Linked DNA regions of Saccharomyces cerevisiae S288C. Changing the gene in region 3 together with the main gene of any one other region gives a genetic interaction. Each region holds a gene or a part of one and is shown on either strand. Other genes may lie near its edges.

Region 1 (4,649 bases), on a different chromosome or scaffold from region 3:
TAATGCACTGGTGATATAGTAACTCCTATATCCTACAGTGAGCTTTTTTTTTTTTGACCTCGCAACACTTCAACTTGAAAAACAAAAGATACAAATACACTAGGTTCGTATATATTGTTTTCGTTAGGTATTTATTTATCTACAAGCATATACAAGCATAAAAAGTGGTGAGGCGATAGCGGTGAGGGAGGGGCACTACTCATCATTTGTTTTATATGTTGATGTTGCGTAGTCACTATTAGTAATACCAATACCCAGCGGGGTTGCAGGGAATACAATGGAAAGACCTAAAGAAAATAGAAAACGGATTTAAACGGAAATGGGCGGACATTTAGTCATATGTGCGCGGAACCAGACGACTGGGAAAGGATCGAAAGGCATCCGCGGAAACTTAAAATAGCTCCGCGGATGCTAGATTTCTACGAGTCATACATAGTCTGGCGTGAAGGTAATTTTTTTTTATGTCTCCGTTCTTTTCCAAATGGGGTGATCCGTGGAGGGCGGTGCTTCTTTCGCGCCACTTCCTTGCCGTGGAAAAATGTGTACGGTTACCATGGTCACATAACCTCTGTGTGCGGAGCCACTCTGACTCGCATCAACCGGGCTATGGTTGCATCGGATGCTGGAATGGGTTCTATTGGACTCACCAACTTGTTTCTTTATAGAGTGTAAGAGGTATGAGTAAACTTTTAATATTTAAAGGTTGTTCCAAGAAGGTGTTTAGTGTTATTGTTCGTACAAACAAGTACCCAAGGCAGGCTTCGAAACTATAATTGCGTCTTTTAGTTCTTCATCTGTGAGATCCGGATATCTTACATTGTAGAATTTTTCGATTAGTGCTTTTCGTACCTGTTCCACGTTCCCATTAGCGCCACTAGGAACAAGGTGGATAGTGCAACCGCCCCAACCAGCGCCAGTGAGACGGGAGCCGAAAGAACCATTTGCTAGGGCAATCGAGCATATTTGATTGGTTTCTATGCACGAACATTCATAAAGTTTATCACAAGAGGCCTGGGACTCATTCATTAGTCGGCCAAAATCTGTAAAGAAATCTTCGTCCGTGTGAAAAGTGGCACTTGTCATCATTTTTAAAGCCTTAAGCACCCTTAAGGATTCGGAGTAAACGTGTTTAGCTCTTTGATATAGTTTCAAGACTTGGAAGCGGACGGGAAAAGTTGTCAGGTAATCTCTAGTGAACTCCTCACGTGAACAGTTTAGCGCCGTAGAGGCTTCATGTACAGTGAATCCGCTCTTTTTCCTCGAGAAAGATTCTTCTACCAATTGTAGCATCTTGAGTAAACGTTCAATACCAGTTCCGATATCTCCATTCCATGGTTGGGCTTGGTTTTCGTATCTGGCGTAGTAAGCATCCATAAAATCTCTTAGATTCCCTCTTTCTGAGTTAGAATTGTCCTTGTGAGATGGTAAGGCCACGCTGTATCTGGTCGCCAAGGCGTTGGCAGCAACTGTTACCTCTATTACTCTTAAATTGTAATTTGTAGGAGCAGTTTCGAATTTATTAGACTTTACAAGAGTATTGGCGATGACGAAACTGATTTCATGATTTTTCAATTGAGGAAACTTGAAAGGTGTGGCCTTTAGTTTTGGCCTAAACTCTACGTATAGAGCATGATCTTCTTCCCCATAAACAGACGTTGCTTGATCCATACCACCATTATTGACTCCAACATAGTGCTCAGCAACCGCTGTGATGCGGGTCAAGTCTTTTTTGGAAATATCAAAATTTTTTCCCATATTGGCTCTAATTGTGGCTAGTGCTGCCGCGCAAGTAAATGCAGATGAGAGTCCACCACCAGTAGGAATATCGCTCTGGCAAAAGATCTGCGCACCTACTAAGGGTGTATTATTAAATCTTTCCGGAGCAATTTTTTTCAAGTATGAATGTGCCACATGTAGTCCGCATTTAAAGTAATTCGACCATTCCGACACAGACGGATCTATGGCCATGTAGGAACCATCTAAAGGCAGATCAAACTTTCGCTGAGCAAATTTAGGGTCCGCATTTGTTAAGGTAATGGATGGATTTTTTTCGTCTAAAATTTTAACTGCGCAAAGCATATCCACATCAATGGCTAATGGCAAAACTGAAAAATCGCAATAATCTATATGCTCACCAATCAGATTTACTCTGCCAGGAGACCTAGCGATAAAATCAGGTTTGACATGGTATGTTTGGAAAAATGCATCTACAACCGCTAAATGTTTTTGTTCGAAAGACCTTGGTAAATCTCTGACCGGAGAACTGAATATTGGAACGTTTGTATTCATACTATGTGTTGCCCTACCTTTTTACTTTTATTTTCTCTTTTTGCACTCCTGATTCCGCTAATAGGAAGTATGAATACCTGGGGTTGTCAATGTGGTAACAAAGGTGTTGCCTCACTTGTCGCTTATGATGATTATATACGTTTCAGTAAAAATTTTACTGCCTATGTGTTGCAGGCGGTCAATCAATTGCATAAAAGACCGTGTGATGGCTTGGCATGGCGATTTCATTCTTTCAAGAATTCCACATGTTAAAATAGTGAAGGAGCATGTTCGGCACACAGTGGACCGAACGTGGGGTAAGTGCACTAGGGTCCGGTTAAACGGATCTCGCATTGATGAGGCAACGCTAATTATCAACATATAGATTGTTATCTATCTGCATGAACACGAAATCTTTACTTGACGACTTGAGGCTGATGGTGTTTATGCAAAGAAACCACTGTGTTTAATATGTGTCACTGTTTGATATTACTGTCAGCGTAGAAGATAATAGTAAAAGCGGTTAATAAGTGTATTTGAGATAAGTGTGATAAAGTTTTTACAGCGAAAAGACGATAAATACAAGAAAATGATTACGAGGATACGGAGAGAGGTATGTACATGTGTATTTATATACTAAGCTGCCGGCGGTTGTTTGCAAGACCGAGAAAAGGCTAGCAAGAATCGGGTCATTGTAGCGTATGCGCCTGTGAACATTCTCTTCAACAAGTTTGATTCCATTGCGGTGAAATGGTAAAAGTCAACCCCCTGCGATGTATATTTTCCTGTACAATCAATCAAAAAGCCAAATGATTTAGCATTATCTTTACATCTTGTTATTTTACAGATTTTATGTTTAGATCTTTTATGCTTGCTTTTCAAAAGGCCTGCAGGCAAGTGCACAAACAATACTTAAATAAATACTACTCAGTAATAACCTATTTCTTAGCATTTTTGACGAAATTTGCTATTTTGTTAGAGTCTTTTACACCATTTGTCTCCACACCTCCGCTTACATCAACACCAATAACGCCATTTAATCTAAGCGCATCACCAACATTTTCTGGCGTCAGTCCACCAGCTAACATAAAATGTAAGCTTTCGGGGCTCTCTTGCCTTCCAACCCAGTCAGAAATCGAGTTCCAATCCAAAAGTTCACCTGTCCCACCTGCTTCTGAATCAAACAAGGGAATAAACGAATGAGGTTTCTGTGAAGCTGCACTGAGTAGTATGTTGCAGTCTTTTGGAAATACGAGTCTTTTAATAACTGGCAAACCGAGGAACTCTTGGTATTCTTGCCACGACTCATCTCCATGCAGTTGGACGATATCAATGCCGTAATCATTGACCAGAGCCAAAACATCCTCCTTAGGTTGATTACGAAACACGCCAACCAAGTATTTCGGAGTGCCTGAACTATTTTTATATGCTTTTACAAGACTTGAAATTTTCCTTGCAATAACCGGGTCAATTGTTCTCTTTCTATTGGGCACACATATAATACCCAGCAAGTCAGCATCGGAATCTAGAGCACATTCTGCGGCCTCTGTGCTCTGCAAGCCGCAAACTTTCACCAATGGACCAGAACTACCTGTGAAATTAATAACAGACATACTCCAAGCTGCCTTTGTGTGCTTAATCACGTATACTCACGTGCTCAATAGTCACCAATGCCCTCCCTCTTGGCCCTCTCCTTTTCTTTTTTCGACCGAATTCTTAATCGGCAAAAAAAGAAAAGCTCCGGATCAAGATTGTACGTAAGGTGACAAGCTATTTTTCAATAAAGAATATCTTCCACTACTGCCATCTGGCGTCATAACTGCAAAGTACACATATATTACGATGCTGTTCTATTAAATGCTTCCTATATTATATATATAGTAATGTCGTTAACCGTTGATTTTTACTGATTGGTCTCTGCCGTGCGGGTGAGCGGCGCGTCCAGACGGGCGGGTGCACGTTTCTTTTTCTGACCATTTCCCTGTCAGCTCTTTTAGATCGGGGCTGCCGTTTGAAAAGTTTTATCATCGCCAGACATGCCATAAGGAATATCTCCACCGCCTCTAACTGTCCCTAACTCGGTCTCTTTCTTATAACTACCATTACTCAGTGTTGAGAGATTGGTAGAAATATACGCGTATACGTTCATTCAAGACTTATTTTCAGCCAGTAATATTCCCTACTCCTCTTCCGTTTTCAGAATAGAGATGGACCAGCCAAGGACCCATTCAGGACCCACGACGGCCAGCAATCCTGCCCCCAGCTCCACCAACTCGTCATCTGCTCCCAGCGCGACTAATTCAAAGCAGGAAAGATCCTCTTCGTCACTGTCCAAACCTTCGTCAGTGGTTCCTTCAAAGGATTCACCAGATGGTGACGCT
Region 2 (6,649 bases), on a different chromosome or scaffold from region 3:
TAATGAACCTGGAATTGATGCGGGAGGGTTGAGAAAAGAATGGTTTTTCTTATTAACAAAATCGCTGTTTAATCCGATGAATGGCTTATTTATTTACATAAAAGAAAGCTCACGTTCATGGTTTGCCATTGACCCTCCAAATTTTGACAAATCAAAAGGAAAAAACTCACAACTGGAATTATATTACTTGTTTGGAGTTGTCATGGGGTTGGCGATTTTCAACAGTACCATATTAGATTTACAATTTCCAAAGGCGCTTTATAAAAAACTATGCTCAGAGCCTCTGAGTTTTGAAGATTACTCGGAATTGTTTCCGGAGACAAGTAGGAACTTAATAAAAATGCTCAATTACACAGAGGATAATTTCGAAGACGTCTTTTCTTTAACATTTGAGACTACGTATCGAAATAACAACTGGATTTTAAATGACAGTAAATCGAGCAAAGAGTATGTAACGGTAGAATTATGTGAAAATGGCAGAAATGTGCCAATAACCCAAAGTAACAAGCATGAGTTTGTCATGAAATGGGTAGAATTTTATCTGGAAAAGTCCATTGAGCCACAATACAATAAATTTGTTTCAGGTTTTAAAAGGGTCTTCGCAGAATGCAATTCTATAAAATTATTTAATTCTGAAGAGCTGGAGAGATTAGTGTGTGGTGATGAGGAACAAACTAAATTTGATTTCAAATCGTTAAGATCCGTGACAAAGTATGTAGGTGGCTTCTCCGATGATTCCAGAGCGGTTTGCTGGTTTTGGGAAATTATTGAAAGTTGGGACTATCCATTGCAGAAGAAATTATTACAATTCGTAACGGCATCTGATCGTATACCTGCAACGGGTATCTCTACTATCCCATTCAAAATTAGCTTGCTAGGGTCGCATGATAGTGATGATTTGCCATTGGCTCATACATGTTTTAATGAAATATGTTTATGGAATTATTCCTCGAAAAAAAAACTAGAACTGAAATTACTTTGGGCAATTAATGAATCTGAAGGTTACGGGTTCCGCTAAGAGTCTTCAGAATATACATATACACATAACACATACATATTTTTTATAGATATTTCTATGGGTAAAGTTACGTCAAGGGTACTCTGTCCATTCTAAGTTTTCATGAAGCATTGTTATTCCTAAATTCTTCATCAAGCACCCACCCTTTACGCTCTTTATCAAACTGTGCTATGGTTTTTAATAATGCTCTAACCTTAATAACGTCTTCTTTATCAGAAAGACTGACGCCAATGCTGTTAAGTATGCTAACACTAGATGAGAAAAAGTTATTCTGTTTCTGTAAATATGCCCGAATATTTTCTAGCGTTTTGGTATTGGAATTGATTTCCTTGGATCTTGCGAAGGTTATACCATCGTCGTAATTTTCTTGGCGAGCTTCCTTGGATGCCTCTTTTTGTGATTTTGTAATATTGCCTAAAATGGCAGCTGATCCAGTTAATTTATTTTTCAACGGATCTCTCTTTCTAATTTTACCTGCTTTACCAAACCTACCTGTCCAAGTAGGTGTCCCAATTTCATATTGCTTAGTGATCTTTTTTCTCGATTTCCTTAGCGCATTAACCGCCTCAATCGCTACTCTGGAAGCCTCTTTTGTAATTATATTCGAAGAAGAACTGCCCGCGTGCGAATTGACAACCGAATCATGACTCATAACGGTTTCTAAATTGCTCTCTCCTCCTAGCAACCCTTCGATTAATCTATCATCCTCTGTTTTACTATTCTCTTTTTTTTCCTTACCGTTATAAAAGCTTTCTAGTTTAGATACGCCAGATAGGTTGACCAGTTGTTCAAAATCGTCACTTTCCTCTGATTTGGAATTTTTTAAATTTTCGGTATGTTTTTGAACTTCTTCGTTCAATTCTTCTGTAGAATAACCGTTTTCACCCCCCAGTGAAAACAGATCATGGAGTTCGTGAATTTTGAAAAATCGTTTCTGCTTAGGATCAGTCAAAATCCTGTTGGTTAAGAATTGTTTGAATATTTGTCTATGATAAATCTTCTCCTCTATTGAACCTCCTACCATCAACCTATATATTGATACCTCTCTTTTCTGCCCAATCCTCCATGCCCTTTCTCGAGCTTGCATGTCAGTAGATGGGTTCCAGTCTGGATCAAAAATGATAATTCTATTAGCACCGGTTAAATTAACACCTAGCCCCCCAACTCTTGTGGTTAGTAAGAATACATCGAAAGATTCATTGTTAAACCGGTCAACTAACGACTGTCTCCCTTTGATATTAGTTGTCCCATCCATTCGTAGGTAGTTCAAATGTGATAAATCGGGATCTTTCGTTGATATAAACTCCTCTAGAATATCGAGCATTTGTCTCGATTGAGTGAAGAGTAGGGCTTTATAGCCCTGCTTATGCCACAGTAATAATAATTGCTTGACAACCTGCATTTTTCCGGATCTTTTAGGATCACCGTAATCTGGATTATGTCTCTTTGTATCTCTGTCAAGTAAATCGGGGTGATTACATATTTTCCTTAGAATGTCGATACCAAATAGAACATTTCTCTTACCGTTTTGTATTTGGTTTAAATCTGAAGAATGCAGAAACTCCAAATATTTGCTTCTTTGATATTTCGTAAGCTTACAAAAGAGAACCATTTCTTTCTTTTGTGGCAGATCTTTTGCAACATCAGCTTTCACACGACGTAACAGGTACGGTGAAATCAAGTCACGCAATGCAACAGCACATTTGTAGCCGGTCTGAACTTGTATGTTTGTTGCGTTTGCATAACCACCAATATTTATAGGTATGACAAACTGTTGTTGAAACACAGGTAGAGTTCCTAATTTACCAGGGAAAATGAAATCAAAAAGCGACCAAAGCTCGGTTAAATTATTCTGTATCGGTGTTCCTGAAAGAATGATCCTATTATGTGTCTTCAGTTTTTTGCAAGTCAATGAAATCTCCGAATCTGGGTTTCTAATCTTATGTCCCTCATCTAAAACAGCATACTGCCATTTAACTTTTAGTAGCTTATCTGAATGTATTCTTAACCCAACGTACGTGGTAATTAAAATGTGCCCATCAGTAACGACTTTATCTATCAACTTATCTAAATGATAGCTTGATTCCAATGCCTTCTTTGTCCTTGTTGAGTTCTTCCAATCCTCGTAAGAAAAATCACTTGGCTTTGAATTCATTATCAAGTTCTCTAGATCGTTTTCATCCATCTTAAATTTTTGGTCAGAAGCCATTCCTGAACCCATTGAGTGCAATATGACCGTCCTCAATGGAGGCCACCAATGCTGGAACTCATTACACCATTGCTTCATCACAGTTGCAGGACAGACAATTAATACAGGGCCTGTTAATAGACCTGAATGATGCAACGCTGCGATAAATGCGATAACTTGAATCGTTTTTCCCAGACCCATTTCGTCACCAATAATACCGCCACAGTTCTGCTGGTAAAGCTCATAGAGCCACTGAACGCACGTCTTTTGGTAATTAAATAACAGCGAGTATATTTCACCGGGTATTTTGAACTGGCTATTAAGTTTTGCGTCGGGAATATTCGGATGAGGTCTTCGCCATTCTGGCAAGTCCGATGACCTTTGACTACCGCAAGAACGTTGTTTCACCCATTTTTTTAACCTTTCTTGATAATACAACTCGTCCCCATCATCCTTCGCCTCACCAGGTTGGCCTCTGAACCGCAGGTCTTCCAGTTCTTTGAGAATTTTATCGTCATTTTCTTCTTCTTCGTCATCTTCACTCTCTTTACCACTCATTTGATAGTCTTGATCGCTGAGATTGTCATCCTCATCCGTTAAATTTTCTACCATTTGTTCTGTTGCCATTTCAAAATCCTCATCTTTTTGTTCGTCATTCTTGGCATACTCTCTGTTTGCAGTGTCCAAGCTGAAACCAGCCTTGTGTCCAAATGCAGTGATCTTACCAGTCCTGATTAAAAACTCCTTCTCAGTTTCACCGGGTCTCTGCAGCCCCTCTTTGGAACCTTTATTTTCAGCACCTTGATCTACCTGCTCTTTCAACTCTTTAATCCTTGATTGGATATCGTCTATGTCCTTCAGAACTCGTTCAATATCGTCTGATTGTAAGTTCTTGATCTGGTCTCGGAGATTCTGCTTAACAGATATCCTAGTGGTATTGTTCAACTTCCTTGTGAGATGATTCTTCTTATTGACATAACGTTGCAGAGCGGTCTTACTCCGTTCTAGACGAGTCTCTTCTTGCTGCAGCGATTGTAGGTTGCTAAAGTTAGTTACATCATTAGCTATTTTTTCCTCCAAACTGCTTTGGGAAAGCACGTTAACTCCCAGATCTTTTAGTGACTCATTGTTTTCAAGTTTCGCATTGTCTTGCTGCTCTTTATCTTCCATCACTGATGTATGTTTCTCTGAGCAATGTTATATATATATATATATATATATTATCAAACCTCTTCCCTTCTTTTTTTTTCTTCCACTTTTATTGCATCGCCCTTAACTGAAATGAAGCTAAGGTATAAATTTGTACTTAGACTGATTATAATTTCTACTTACGGAACTTGTTAAGTGCATTTTTATTGTTCTACCCTCTATTTTTTAAATGTAATGTTCTTGAATACGCTACATGCGTATATATATATATATATATTGTAAGAGGATTACTGGACAAACCGAATAAAAGAGCTTGACGCATATATTTATTTATGTATATATTTACAGGCCAATTTTCATAAATAATCAGTCCTTCTGCTGGCTGTTCAGAAGTTTTAGCTTTTCCATCTCCTCCCTCGGATCAAACTTTCCTTTGCACAAGTTTTCGTACTGTTGATCGTACTTGCCAGTCGACAGAGGTGCGTTACCTGTGAACCGCTTAGTCATGTCGACGATTCCTCGCTTACAATCCAAAAATGCTTTCATCTGAGCAATACAAAGTTCGGGCAGATCCTTATTCAGCTCTGGATTGTCAAGACATTCTTGAGGGTTATGTCTCTCTATCATGACACAGGGCGATCTCTGCAAACATATAGCGACAGCCTTCTTCTGATCTTTACAACTAGCTACCATTCTTTGATATCTACAAACGCACTGCAAATTTATTTGTGTCTATTCTGTTCCGATTAATTGTTATGGCAGCCTTTTAATATACTATCCCTCTTTCTTTAAAGCTGCCCGCATAGCGAAACCTCGTTATGTTATTGTTTCAAGCACTTCAGTTTTTTTAATAATTAAAGGGATCTAAGAACACCGCAAACAATTGAGAAAGTAAACAAACGTGCACACGCAAAGGTAGTTCTCATGTCATTGAACTTTCTTCCAGGACGCCCCAATGCTACCCCTCAGACAGCTTGTCAAGCAACATGGCAAAATCATACCATCTTTGCATATTGTTCAGGGAATAATTTAATCATACTTACCAACAAATTCACTAGGTTACAGACCATATATACACAATCAGACTGTACTGCGGTCGATATTAACAGCCAGAATGGATTCATTGCCCTTTCCTTCCACAATAGGGTGCTCATCTACAAGCCCATTCATCAAATTATGCAGAATCCCAAGTGGACCCAATGTTGCCAGTTGTTCCATGATGACACGCCAGTAAACTGCCTAAGATGGTCTTCTGATAATGAGTTAGCCATTGGATCTGATTTTCTTTCTTTTTGGAAAATTAAGGATAATTTTGGTGTGTATCAACCTATTTTGCAGTGGAACCAAAAACAGCCTAAACCTGTTTATAATGTGATTATATCACAAGATTCGCAGCTGATAGTCAGTATTGGGAAGTACGACTGTAATGCTAAACTATGGAAGCGTGTTTCAATAGTCGGAGAACAAGCCATCTTTAACCTTACTATGTTGCCTCATCCGAAACCTATAACTGCAATGCGGTGGAAAAAAGAGCCAGACCAGGTGAGTAAAAACAACACTGCCTCTCATGCTCTTTATACGCTGTGTGAAGATAAAGTTCTGAGAATATGGTCTTGTTTTGAAATGGAGAAAAACCATACTGTGCAAATATGGGGTGAAGTGCCTCTTTCCCCCACGCAGAAGTTCTGCGTGATAATAGACAATTGGATCATTAGGCAAACTCTCAGTGTGAAAGACTCGGAAATCTTTGATATATCTGACTCAGACATTGTTATTCTGGGTTCAATGACTGGGGAAATGGAAGTTTTGGCTTTGAATAATCTTTCCCAAGATCCTCCAAAACCAATGACTAAAAAGACCATTTCCCATAAAAAAGTCAAGAAAGCAACTATGCTAAACGATACAAGATATTTGTACCTCCCCGAAATACAACCCTATGACAATGTGAAGGGCAAACTTTCTTTTCTCGTCCACGATTTACAAGGTGTAATCAGACATTTACTAATCGACATTCTGCAGCTTATAAACAATAAAACCGAAGATCTGAGTGCCGCTTTAGAGCACAAATTTACGGGACATAACAAATCTGTGCAGAAGTTGGTAAGAAGCAGCGACGGCGAAGCTTTATTAACCACTTCGAGATTCTCAGAAAATGGCGTTTGGTACCCACAAAAGTTAAACCATGGGGTTTCACTGCGGTTACAAAATACAATACAAACAGAATCTCCCATAAAATTTGCAGTTGTACATGAGTTGGGTAAACAGGTCATCTGTCTTCTCGAAAATGGGGCTTT
Region 3 (8,360 bases):
GAACTCGGAAAGCACGGTATTGAACTGTATTTTAAGCATCCCAAAACAGGCACCACATGTAGCGCAACCTTTTTACCTGATGTTATGCCTGAGCAACATTGGAATAAAGAAGATACCTTTGCCAATTTAATCGAGAAGGCGGGTTACTGGGGCAATATTAGTGAAGTAATGGATAATTTTGAAACTTATTTCATTGAAGTAATAAGGTACGAGGGCAAAAAAAGTTCCATAACTTATGAGGAATTTAACAAACAGTTAAAAGATATAGAGGCTTAGAAAATAACCCTCGTTAGTTAGTCTTAGAAACATTAAAAAAAATATGCTTTTATACATTGATCAAGCTTAAAAATTGGACGCAACCGGAATCGAACCGATGACCTCTTCCTTGCAAGGGAAGCGCGCTACCAACTGCGCCATGTGCCCTGATGACTGTTGAAACTGTTGTATCTCAAAATGAGATATGTCAGTATGACAATACGTCATCCTGAACGTTCATAAAACACATATGAAACAACCTTATAACAAAGCGAACAACATGAGACAAAACCCGTCCTTCCTTAGCTGAACTACCCAAAAGTATAAATGCCTGAACAATTAGTTTAGATCCGAGATTCCGCGCTTCCACCACTTAGTATGATTCATATTTTATATAATATATAAGATAAGTAACATTCCGTGAATTAATCTGATAAACTGTTTTGACAACTGGTTACTTCCCTAAGACTGTTATATTAGGATTGTCAAGACACTCCGGTATTACTCGAGCCCGTAATACAACAGAAACTCATTTCTAATGAGTGGTAAATACATTTGTGGGAAATATCTTTAAGGCCATCTCGGACCTGTATATAATCTCCGAGTATTTCCATTAAAGATGAATCAAATACATGAAATATCTATTAAAGACATATACTCAAGGAAAAGAAGTAGTAGATATATCTTCTTTATATATATTGCCCTGTGTTGCTAGCAGGGTGTTGGAACAAATAATTTGTTCCGTATTGGAAAATTTATAATTAGGTCCAAGAACAAGTTCACTATGATGACGACATATTACTTTGTTCAAAGAGATGGTTTAAAATAAATATGTATAGCAGAATTATAAGAGGCGAAATCGATCAATTAGTTGAACAATTAACTTAAAATCTAATATATATAAATATATATATATATATATATAGGAAATATACGGCACGTTATACTAGAGATATTAAACATCCCAACTCGGTTAATGGGTACAATAAAAAAAAGAGGGATTAATGTTTGTCTACGTATAAACGAATAAGTACTTATATTGCTTTAGGAAGGTACTATACACTCGCTTCTGTCATGCTCGAGTCCGCTTCATCTGTGAAAGATTCAGCCACGCTTGAAGTAACAACAGGAGGCAAGACGAGGGGTCTGGTGCCATACTGTTCATCAAATTCAGTAAAGTCGAGTTGTGAGTTATCGCCCATTATCTCACAGTATTTCTTCGTAACCACTTTTTCCAGTTCTAAAGAGTCTTCGTATACTACTGAACCCTCAGTATTGTATATCCTAGCATTGGAAAATATCAGATGAAAGTCTTGAAGGGTCTCTTTAAGGGAGTTGTAAGCTAGCGTTTCAATATGCGTGTTAATATTATCAAAGGCGACAGGGTACTTAATAATCATATAGTAGTCGGGATATAGTGCTTTGGAAGGTTTGGAGAGGAAAATGTCAGAAAGTTTCCTTCCAGCTTCATTTTCATAATTGAGAGCAAAGTGGTATAAGTCTAGAGCTTGTTTAGCAACTTTCTCTCTAATATCAATAGGACTCGTTGCCGCAGCGGGCGTGCGGACATAATCAAGCCCATTTCTTGCTTTTGGCGGCCTTCCTCGTCCACGTCCTCGCCCTCGACCACGACCACGACCGCGACCACGGCCCCTTGTTGAAGTTCTTGCTGATTTAACAGATGTTTTTCCCGCTGTACGTGGTTTTGGAATGTCCATAAAATCCTCACTGGGAGAGTTATCGCCAGTAACTGGACTTGATTCAAGCGCTGGTGGTTCAGAATTTTCAGATCCTTCAAGTTTCACTTTCTTAGGTCTTCCACGGGGCCTTCCTGCCTTTCTCTTTTTAGACAAGAAATCATCGTCATTCATTGCCAAATCCGTATCTGCCCGATCTTCGGCCGATATATTATTAATTCTAGGACCGTCATTATCAGCGTCAATGTTTTCGCCTTTAATTTCTCCATTCCCATCAATCGCCTCGCTCTTATCTTCCTTCTTTGTTCGTTGTTTTCTTGCCTGCTTGTCATTTTTTTCATCATCGCTAACTTCAAATTGTCTTAACCACTGTTCTTCAGACATATTATCGTTGTAAGTTGCCGTCTTACGTTCTCTTGCACCCCTTCCATTGTAAACAGCAGCAGATTCTGATTCTTCACGTTTGAGCTCGGCACCAATATCTCTACTGTAAATATCAGGTAATTCACTCTTTTCTAAGAGACGGCTCTTTACTCCCAATTCTTCCTCCTTCTTTGATCTATCTTCATCCATCCTTGTAAGAACAGCCATTTCTTCGTCATTTCGAGCAAGAATTTCGTTGATTTCTGAGTCTTTTAACTCCTCTTCTTCTTCAACACCAGACTCTCTTTTCTTTCTACGTTCCTCTTCTGCATCCAGCAAAGATCTAAGCAACGCTTCTTGTTCCTCCGATGTAGATTTGTTATCGAATTTACCTGCTTGAATGACTTTACCATCGATATCTAGCTTCTTGTAGGCTCTCTCTAGGATAACTTCTTCAACTGAATTCGTAGTAATCAATCTTAGAATTCTAACTTCATTCTTCTGACCTATTCTATGCGCTCTATCCTGAGCTTGCAAATCTTGATGAGGATTCCAGTCAGTATCAAAAATAATGACAGTGTCTGCAGTTTGTAAATTTAAACCCAAACCACCCGCTCTAGTTGATAAGATAAAGCACAAGTATTCAGAATCAGGGGCGTTAAATAGACGTAACAACTCACTACGTTCATCAGATTTTGTATGACCATCTAACCTCAGGTACTTGATATTAATGTACCTTAAAAAATCTTCCATAATATCCATAATTTGGGTCATTTGAAAAAAAATTAATACTCTATGCCCAGTTGCCTTAAGCTTAGGCAAAATTCTATCTAATAGTTCAAATTTACCAGCAACACGCCAAATATCATCATTCGTTTCTCTTGTTGGATTGATTTGGTCCTCAACTTCTTCAAATACAAAAGGATGATTACAGATTTTCTTTAGTTGCATGATTTGATTATTGAAACCTCTTAAACCTACCATTTTCTTATTATTTTGATCACCGATAAAAAGACGACGATATTTCAACATTTGTTGGTACATAATTTGTTGTAAAGCGCTCATTTTGCACTTCACTACCTTCTCAACTTTATCCGGTAATTCTTTTTCTACATCCTTTTTCAAACGACGCAATAAAAAGGGTCTCAAGACTTTATGCAATCTCCTGATAACCAAAAGCGTCTCTTCTTCACTCAACTCAATTTTATCTTGCCCACCGGTGTTGGCAAAGGGTGTATTGAACCATTCATCAAAAGATTTCACGGAATTGAAAATCTTGGGTAACACAAAATTCAATAAGGCCCATAATTCTGGCAAGTTGTTTTGAAGTGGTGTACCTGTCAAAATTAATCTATAATCTGCATGGTAATGTGTGTTCAAGGTTAAAGAAAGCTTGGATTGCGCATTTTTCATTCTATGGCCTTCATCAATAATCATATGGACCCACTTGACCTTGGATAAAAGTGCTCTTTCTTTAATAATATACTCAAAGGTAGTCAGAACTACATCAAATTCACCTGCCCTTATTTTAGCCTGTTTGGCTTTCCTCTCATTTGGCGAACCTTTAAATGATATAGTTCTTAAGGTAGGAGCCCATTTCGCGAATTCACTGCTCCAATTTGACAGTGTAGATAAAGGAACAATGACTAAATATGGCCCACGAATATTCTTCATTTCATATAAATATGTAAGTAAGGATATCGTCTGGATAGTCTTACCAAGACCCATTTCGTCTGCTAAAATACCATTTAAATGATTATTGAAAAGCGAAACCATCCACTGTAAACCCTTGATTTGATAGTCCTTTAAGGTACCACCAACCAATATTGAAGGCTGCTTCTTGATATCTTCTTTAATTCTATGTGCGACATTGTAATAATCGACGTTAGAATTGTCGTCGTCGTCATCATATTCTTCATCCTTCATCTTGGGGACCATGGACAAATCATCCACTTCCTCCGATGCTTCCTTTATGTGGGAATCAATCATTTCTTTAGTGTACTTTTGTTGATCTTTCACGGCTCTTGTTAAAGAATCTAAAAATGCGTTTGTTTGCCTTAGAAGATGTGTAATTCTTGTATCTTTGGTTTGGTCTAATAATTTTATATAGGCTTCCTCATCGTTCGCCTTTAAAGCCTGTAAACGTTCTTTTGCCTTTTTTTCAGCTCTCTTTTGCTCATCCCTTTCTAAATTAGTATGCGTAGCAATGAGTCTATGGCCAAACTTCAACCTTTTATTCTTTTTATCTTGTCTTCTATTATATTGATTGATGGCGGATTTATTCATCGACTTTAATCTGGCCACTGCCTCAGTCTTCTTCCTTTCTAACTTAAGTAATTCATGATTCTTATAAAGTTGGTTTGTTAGCAATGCATCTTGAACGTTGATGTTTCTTATTTTCGAAAGAAAATTTGGATGTGTATTGGTTAATAAAGAATTTTGATGCCATTCAAATTGTAATACATGACCTCTTACGGCTTTTTGTAACGGTAATAATTGTAAGGCGTAGTAATCGTAAAGAGCATTTTCCCTGGTTGATTCCGTACATTCGTCATTTAGTAGCTTATCCAAACAGTCATTTACCGTAGTATCTAGGTTCAATGCAATTAAAGTTTGGTAAATGTCAGTAGCGGTATGTGTGTCAATACCAACCGGTAGAACGCCAGGTTCAATAGTAAACTTTGCATGATCCGAATTGGCCAATAAAGTCTGATAATCGATATTACTATGTGAGATATTGGGCATCGTAAAAGAATCAACCATCATATCAGGATCATCTATATCTACCACTTTTATTCCTTCCTTATATTGATCTTGAAGGACGTTTAAAGGAACGGGTTTCTGCGGTTTTGGCGGGTTATTTTGCTCGGTGTGGGTCTTATTACTATTAGGAGCTGTTTTAGCTACGTTTGAAATGGTTTCGTTTTCCTCTTTTTTCGATTCTGTTTGCGTGATTGGAGTGCCACTTACAGTTTGCGAATTTTTATCGAGGGTGCCATTCTTCGCATTATGTACACTAGATGGACCAGCTGGTGAAACAGATGCAAAATTTTCGTCTTTGCTATCTAAAGGTGCATTTCTGGTAAGCCCAGAAACGTTGTCAGTGTTAGTGTTATTGTAGTGGGAATTGGTGCCGGGTTGCTGCGTATTGTTGCCGCCATTGAGATTTGATTGGTTATTTTGATCTGTGGGTTGTCTTCTTCTCGCAAACTCACTCAAAGACAGTAACATTCTTTTGAAATCTGGAGGATGGTTAATAGATTTTTGGATAACAGCCTGAAATTCAAACGGAATAGGCTTTCTATTTACTAGACATTTTAGAGATGTGATTTGGGCCTTTAACAGTTCGGATTGCTCGGCAGTAAACATTGTCATGGGTAATCTTCTCCCCTGTTGCAGTCTCGCTTGTGCTTGTTGTGCCTGTTGTGCCTGTTGCGCTTGTTGCGCCTGTTGTGCTTGGAATTGTGCCTGCTGCATCTGCGCCTGCTGGGGCATAGGAGAATTTATCTGCGAACCTGGCATCACATTTGAATCCTGTATGTTGTGTTCTTGTAATGATCGATTTTGCGGTTGAAGCTCGGAATTATTAAGGTTTAAGTTATTATGGTTTGAGTTATCTGGTTTCTCCGCAGCATTTTCTCCATTGTTTGCTGGTGTTGGTGAAAAATTAGTTGCATTTAATGAACCAACCGAAGATTGCCGTTGTGGTAGCATGTTATTACCACCATTGCTATTTAATGGCATCTGTGTTTGCATGATTGGTGATTGATGAGCAGAAGTGCTAAAGGTCTCATTTCCATTCAATTGCATATTCGGAGCTAAATGCGGGGAAGCAGAAGCAGAAATGTGCGAGGAAGCATTATTCGGCAGTTCTGCTTGATCTGAAGAATTTGGAACAATATTTTGCTGAGAACCTGAAATGCCTTGCTGTTGGCGTTGCATTTGTAATTCTTGTCGCTGCTTGGCAGCAAATTGCAACACTTTAGTCAAATAGATAAATTCCGGCACACTCGGAGCGTTCATTCCGTGTTCATTTCTCAAATGCTGCCATCTTAAATAGCAGCGGTTGACCTCTTCGTTGCTAAATTGACGCTGTGGTATGTTCATGGCAGATAATTAATCGAAAGTCGTGAAAATAGCAGAAAGTCGCGATTAGAGAAACAACAGAATAGCTGACCTTCCCGATGATTTATATACAAAAGGTCCACGTACGTCACAAATATCTTCTTTATTGAGACTAGAGGTAACCTTTCTTTTAACTTATTGTCCTACCGCCTCAGGATGGCCCCGTTTCGTCAATCAATTTGTTGATATTTGTCTTTCAAACGCGGTTTTAACATATCGCGAACAACGGTATTCGGGTAACAGCCTATCACTATTTTTACCGGCGGCTATTTTTCCTAAACCTAGTATATATACGCGAAAATTGGCTACCTGCAAAATTCCAATAGTGGCGAATGTATTGGAATTAATCTGCAAGGAAAATAAGCGTTAGGAACTTCAACTGTATTTTGCTCACTAATTCTTCTTCATCATGTCTTCTTCTTTTTTTTTCAATTACTTGTTAGTTCTTAGTGTCCTTATGTTCACTCAGAATAGCCATTAAGAATCGTGTCTTTTTGGAAGTGAAGGAGTTTCAATAAAAAGAAAAAAGCGAATATTTCAACACTGTGTTCTAAGAAAAGGCTCTATAGCTTTTTTTATTAGTTTTATTAATTTGAAAAATGCCTTGTTTGTTTTATATATATATATGTGTGTATTTAGGGCAGCCGCGGCCAACAGGGGGTATGGGTATGAAGAGGTGATAGAAGAGTGAAAAATGAAAAAAAATGGAAATCAAGGAAAGAGTAGTGAAAAAAAGAAAAAAAGGAAAAAAGGGCAAAAAGAGAACGCAATACCATAGAGTTGGAGGTGTTGGACTTGTGAATTTATTTTTGATTGAAAATAGTTCAGAGTCAATAGATTCTTCTTTAAAATAAAAAGGAGCCCAGACTTACTGATAGATCTTGCATATACTCCGGTAATGGATATTCCCTCTTCAAACCAAATTCAACATGGCCAAAGGAGTGAAAGGAACCGAAGAATGCCGAGGGCTTCTTTTTCTTCTACAGCCACTACTTCTACGGCGGCCACATTGACTTCCGCGATGGTACTGGATCAGAACAATTCGGAACCGTACGCAGGTGCAACATTCGAAGCCGTGCCAAGTTCTATTGTATCATTCCATCACCCTCATTCTTTTCAATCAAGCAACCTCCCAAGTCCGCATTCTTCAGGGAACCTAGAGCAGAGAGGCCGCCGATTGACTGAATCAGAGCCTTTAGTATTATCCTCGGCTGAACAGTCTCGAAGCTCTTCTAGAAACCCTTCTCATTTTCGATTTTTCACTCAGGAGCAAATATCCAATGCTGAAGGCGCTTCCACGTTAGAAAATACAGATTATGACATGGCCTGGGATGCCACCCCCGCTTATGAACAAGATAGAATCTATGGTACGGGCCTATCTTCCAGGCGTTCTTCTATTCGAAGTTTTTCCAGAGCATCATCTCTCTCAAATGCAAAGTCTTATGGATCTTTCAGTAAGAGGGGTCGCTCTGGTTCAAGGGCACCACAAAGGCTGGGAGAAAATTCTGACACTGGGTTCGTTTATCATTCCGCTACACATTCATCATCCAGTTTATCGAGATATACGACCAGAGAAAGAATTCCTATTGAACTAGAAAGTCAAACAGATGAAATACTAGAAGACGAGTCTTCTACACATTCTTTAGAATCTTCAGATAGTAGGCGATCTGCAAGCGAAAATAATAGAGGAAGCTTTTCTGGTCATGATGATGTTCATAATCAGCATAGCGAATATCTAAAACCTGACTATCATGAAAAGTTTTATCCACAGTATGCACCAAACTTGCATTACCAAAGGTTTTACATTGCGGAAGAGGATTTAGTTATTGGTATCGCTGCTTACCAGACCTCAAAATTCTGGTATATTATTTACAACCTGTGCTGCTTCTTGACTTTCGGATTAGTTTATCTTTTAACGAG
Region 4 (5,256 bases), on a different chromosome or scaffold from region 3:
TTGGCCAACGGTGCTATTGACACCAAAGAAATTAACGAAGACTCTAAAGATTTTGAACAAGTAAAATTGCAGGTCACAGAATTTGCTCAGCGCTTGGCCCAGTTAGTCGTTCGCGATGGTGAAGGTTCGACAAAGTTTGTTACTGTTAACGTTAAAAATGCTTTGCATTTTGAAGACGCCAAAATAATTGCTGAATCAATCTCAAACTCTATGTTGGTCAAAACCGCACTATATGGGCAAGATGCCAATTGGGGAAGAATATTGTGCGCGATCGGGTATGCAAAGCTGAATGACTTAAAATCTCTAGATGTCAACAAAATTAATGTTAGCTTTATTGCTACCGACAATTCAGAACCTCGTGAGCTGAAGCTTGTCGCTAATGGTGTGCCACAATTGGAGATCGATGAAACAAGGGCTTCTGAAATATTGGCTTTGAATGATTTGGAAGTGTCTGTCGACTTGGGAACCGGTGATCAGGCAGCACAATTTTGGACTTGTGATTTATCACATGAATATGTAACAATTAACGGTGATTACCGTTCATAAATTCATGTATATTTTGTTCAATCTTTCTTTTATAAGCATGGTTATATAAACGCACAGAAACAGAGTGTTTCCTGTACCTTCTGAATGAGTTTGGCTATTGCCATATTTTTGAAAGAATTAACTATTTCCGTTTTTATTTATGTACGAGGCACCTTAACTATCCTGTCACATCGTTTTTTTTTTACTTAATTACATACAGAGGTTCGCCTATTATAATAGATGTGTTGGTATAAATATTCATATATACCTATTTATTAACGTAATGTTAACCTGACTTGGTGCTCTCAACTGTTGGAATCTCTACTTGATCATTTAAAAAATTCACCAATTTCTGCGCATCGAGTAAATTTGTATTAAAATATTGACGTTTTGGTATAACGCTCAATAAATCAAGAACCTCTGTTGGAAGCTCTGAGTCTCTTTTGAATTTCTTATTGGAGAAGTTTCCATTGTTTCCAGTTTCCTCCATTAGTCTCTTTCTATCTGACGAACTCATATTGTAAGAGCCATGATGGCCATCCCCGTTTCCAGAAGAAAAGTAACTGTCTTCTTCCTCATTATACATATAAGTTAACTCTAATTTCTTTATTAAGTTGGAGTTTTGAATTTGATAACGACTTGTGAAAACTTCAATCAAATTTTCTTGGGGGAACCGTTCGAAAAATCTTTTCTCTAGAGAATAAACGTTGTTTAAGTTACCGAATTTCGATTCATAACTTATCATTTTCTTGTATATTTCCTTCAGCTGGGTTAAATCTTGCACTTTTTCCACTGATGTTTCAAATAAGGTTTTGATCTGCGAATCCTTATTTAAAAATATTAAAAAATCTAAGTATTTGTTGATATAAACTCCATCGTTTTGGAAGTATTTTAAACCCAATTCTAAAACCTTAAAAGCAGTCTTATAATCGTTTTGATTTTGAAATTCTAAATATGCATTTTCCACGTAGACGTCATGTGTTAATATACGCTTCAGTTTACGACATTTACCAAATACAGTACGTGCTGCGGATAGTCCTGATATTCTTTTCATCGTATTCATATACACGCAAAACACGAATGTTAATTTTTCCCTCTGTTTGTATAGCAGCTCTTGTTCATACTCTGTGTTATTATCTTCACCCGAATTTACATCGGAGGCGATCTTTTTATACTGCGATAGTAAAGTTTGAGTGCACTTGTCAAAACAGTTAGAAACACTTTCAGAATCATTATCCAGTTCGTAGCATTCGGATAACTTGAATGTAAGAGAAGGTGAGTCGGGATTAGCTAATAACGCAGTATATAAGATATTTTGTCGATCCGAATTTTCAGATATATACATTGAATAATCGTACCACATTTCAGCAGAAAATATCATGTATTGAATACCTTGTTTATAAACGTAACTGATTCTTTGTGATAGCATATCTTCACTAAGCATCAACTTATTCTCCCTTTCCCATTTTATCCAATTCAACCAAATCTGTAACTGCTGAATGTTTGAGTCTGAGGTACCTGGTTGTGGTATGTTTTTCTTGTTTGCTGTGCGCAGATTAATTGGAGATGCCCTTTTCAATCCATTAGTAACGTTCAACCATTCCTGGTATAAGGAACGGGCTTTCATGTATTCGGCTGATAACTCGCCAATAAATTTTCTGGCTGTTAGGGAATTTATTTCTTGTTCCCATTGAGTGTATCTATTCCACATTTTTTCTAGATTATCAAAAGGAACACATAGCATTTTCTTGTAGAATTCTCTGAGCATGTCAATTCGCTGTTGCTCCTCCCATTTGTTGAATGGCTTCCACTGCTCTAAAAAATTGAGATATTCGTTCCAAAAAGAAGATGATTTGGGTTCAAAAATTGCACACTTTTGCATAACTAGTTGGAATGCCTTGACAATAACAGCTCTCGCCTCTTGTCCACCAGTAATTAAGTTGTTTTTTCTGCGTATGTAGTCCAAATATGTTGACCAAAGAGATAGGTCATTATTTTCCAACTTGCCAGAAAGACATTGAGCCAAAATCTTCTCAACAGTCTCAAATTCATCTCTTGCCAATTCACCCTTTAGTTGCAAAGTCCACGCAGGTGAATAAAACGGGAATGTGTTATGAAATTGCTCGTATACTTCTCTCACCTTAGCGTATGACTCTTGAGTTTCCAAATATTGAATAAGCTGGAAGTATGATAAAATATTCGTGGGATTGTCTTTAATCCTTTCTCTAAGTCGTAGTTCATCTCCATGTATATTGTCACTAGGCTCTGCGACTTTGTCCGCAGAGGGATATAGTAAATCAGGAGTCGTAGAGCTGGACATATCTCTTGTTTGACTCTCCAGTTTGGCCTTTTATTTCGTTGTAGAATACTCTTTCATCACACAAGCTACACTTTTCTTCTTAATTATTACAAGGTAACCGACAATTTTGTCACGATTGTTATCATTTTAAACGAAGTGGGAAATGTAATAAGAAATAAGCTATTTAGAATGGCTACTATTTAATGCTGGAATTTGTATTTTTCAAATAAACGCAAAGCAAGGCTATTATCGAGTCAGTAATGGTTAAAGGTAGTGTGCATTTATGGGGAAAGGATGGCAAAGCATCGTTGATTTCAGTGGACAGCATTGCGCTTGTATGGTTTATCAAGTTATGTACTTCAGAAGAGGCAAAGAGTATGGTTGCGGGATTGCAGATCGTATTCTCAAACAATACAGACCTATCATCAGATGGAAAACTACCAGTGTTAATTTTAGATAATGGAACGAAAGTATCTGGTTACGTGAACATCGTACAATTCTTACATAAAAATATATGTACTAGCAAATATGAGAAAGGTACGGATTATGAAGAAGATTTAGCAATTGTTAGAAAAAAGGATCGCCTTTTAGAGTATTCCCTATTGAATTATGTTGACGTTGAAATTTCCAGACTAACGGACTACCAGCTCTTTTTGAACACCAAAAATTACAATGAATATACCAAGAAGTTGTTTTCAAAATTGCTATATTTTCCTATGTGGTATAATACGCCATTGCAACTAAGATCGCAAGCACGTGAAAATTGTGAGGAGATTATAGGCTCACTGACCCTTGAGGATGATGAAGAATTTGTAGAAAGTAAAGCAATGGAGTCAGCCTCGCAACTAGCACAATCAAAGACCTTCAAAATTGCGCATAAGAACAAAATTAAGGGTAAGCAAGAGCTACAACAGGTGAAATATAATCTTCAATTTGATAATAGACTACAGAGTTGCGTCAGCAATTGGTTGGCTGCCCGTAAAAAACTGGATGATTCTGTAATACTTTCCTCCGACCTTCTTTTCCTTGCAAATCTTTACGTTCAGTTAGGCCTACCTGATGGTAACCGCATCCGTTCAAAACTGGAACAAACCTTTGGAAGTGAATTATTGAATAGTATGTCGAACAAAATTGATGACTTCGTCCATAGACCAAGTAATAACTTGGAGCAAAGAGATCCTCAATTTAGAGAGCAAGGAAACGTTGTGATGTCATTATATAATTTAGCCTGTAAATACATATAATAAAAATAAACAAAATAATGCAGAAAGGTGTCTTTAAGTTCATTTTTCAATTTCTTTTCGGTTTTCGTACTCCTTTATAAACGAAGTAATAAACAATTGTACCATCATCGTTAATTATGGCCAGCAGTATTCTTTCAGTAGATGGACTACATAAGTGAGTAAATGTCTGGCTCAAGCATTCCAAAGTGAGAAAATTCTCTTTGTACTGTGACATATTGATGGGTAATATGAACTCTAGCGGGCGTGGCGATGACAAGCTATTTTCATGCTCTGTGTCTACATCGTTGCTCAGCTTGTGAGGCGGACGACCTCTCAGTAATCTCAGGCTATTTCCCTTCCATGATAAATCGTCTTGTAAAATTTCCACTTCCGTCCACATTTGGAAATAGAGTAAATTATTTTTTACTAGAGATATGATATCTGTCGTTGCCATTCTTATTTTCCTCAACCTCCTCGACGTAATTTCTCTTCGACAATTTATTATATCTTTCATATATTTCTGATGACTTTTTCATTTTCACTTTTTTTCAACCCATAACGGCTTTTTGTTCAAAAGAAACTGATCATGTCATCGATTAAAAGTAAAAGTATGCACATCAGCCTCGTGACAGATGAGGATCTCATGTCAAAAACCGCCAAGAAGCATGCATTATTGAATTTGAAACGTGGTAGATTATTAAGTATATGTCTATGTAATATTAAGTAAGACAAGGGCATTCACTTTACATGCAAATGCATTTGGAACCCTTGACCGAAAAAAAAAAAACAGGTTAACCGCAAAATACATGATCTTCCTTTATTAGAAGAACCGTTTGGCTTTAGTTAAAAATTGATGCTTTTCAGTGGAATGACGATCTTCGTTTACCTGACGCTCTTCATTTTCATCAACCTCATTTAGCAAGACTTCAGGGTCCACGTGCAAGTCTCGAATAACCTTTTCGGTCGCATCTTCCATATCCATCATACCATAAATTGCAATTGTGATAATACCAAGAATACCGGCAAAGCAGGAGAATGTCATGGCAATAATACCTTTTTTGGTAAAACCGGTAGGAATGAAGGCATGCTGAACATTTTCACCAGTTAAATCAGTTAAATCCAGTGTATTGGCAGCGGCGTTACCTTCAGTGGCCACAGAGCAACTCTGGCAAACTTCTAAGTGGTTTTCACTGAGTTGTTGAGAATGAG

Evidence for each region.
Region 1: of SNF2 (region 3) and GAL3, changing one enhances a phenotype caused by changing the other (phenotypic enhancement), as found in Saccharomyces cerevisiae (one study listed by BioGRID).
Region 2: of SNF2 (region 3) and RAD26, a mutation in one rescues a mutant of the other (synthetic rescue), as found in Saccharomyces cerevisiae (one study listed by BioGRID).
Region 4: mutations in SNF2 (region 3) and RNA14 impair growth when combined (synthetic growth defect), as found in Saccharomyces cerevisiae (2 studies listed by BioGRID, with this or other methods).

What each region holds. Positions count from the first base shown.
Region 1 is NC_001136.10:461,074-465,722, reverse strand, and holds GAL3 (transcriptional regulator GAL3), read right to left. Parts: upstream 2,290-4,649; coding exon 727-2,289; downstream 1-726. Other genes in the region: YDR010C (uncharacterized protein), read left to right, coding at 340-672; phosphoribosylanthranilate isomerase TRP1, read right to left, coding at 3,207-3,881; SOK1 (Sok1p), read left to right, coding at 4,476-4,649.
Region 2 is NC_001142.9:495,082-501,730, reverse strand, and holds RAD26 (DNA-dependent ATPase RAD26), read right to left. Parts: upstream 4,377-6,649; coding exon 1,119-4,376; downstream 1-1,118. Other genes in the region: putative E3 ubiquitin-protein ligase HUL4, read left to right, coding at 1-1,018; PET191 (Pet191p), read right to left, coding at 4,722-5,048; RAV1 (Rav1p), read left to right, coding at 5,280-6,649. UniProt on the Saccharomyces cerevisiae protein: May be involved in the preferential repair of active genes.
Region 3 is NC_001147.6:853,837-862,196, forward strand, and holds SNF2 (SWI/SNF catalytic subunit SNF2), read right to left. Parts: upstream 6,423-8,360; coding exon 1,311-6,422; downstream 1-1,310. Other genes in the region: YOR289W (uncharacterized protein), read left to right, coding at 1-276; YPK9 (putative acid anhydride hydrolase), read left to right, coding at 7,339-8,360. UniProt on the Saccharomyces cerevisiae protein: Involved in transcriptional activation. Catalytic component of the SWI/SNF complex, an ATP-dependent chromatin-remodeling complex, which is required for the positive and negative regulation of gene expression of a large number of genes.
Region 4 is NC_001145.3:390,344-395,599, reverse strand, and holds RNA14 (cleavage polyadenylation factor subunit RNA14), read right to left. Parts: upstream 2,846-5,256; coding exon 812-2,845; downstream 1-811. Other genes in the region: ARG7 (glutamate N-acetyltransferase), read left to right, coding at 1-546; SAM complex subunit SAM37, read left to right, coding at 3,085-4,068; SEN15 (Sen15p), read right to left, coding at 4,115-4,501; ferroxidase FET3, read right to left, coding at 4,868-5,256. UniProt on the Saccharomyces cerevisiae protein: Component of the cleavage factor IA (CFIA) complex, which is involved in the endonucleolytic cleavage during polyadenylation-dependent pre-mRNA 3'-end formation and cooperates with the cleavage factor NAB4/CFIB and the cleavage and polyadenylation factor (CPF) complex.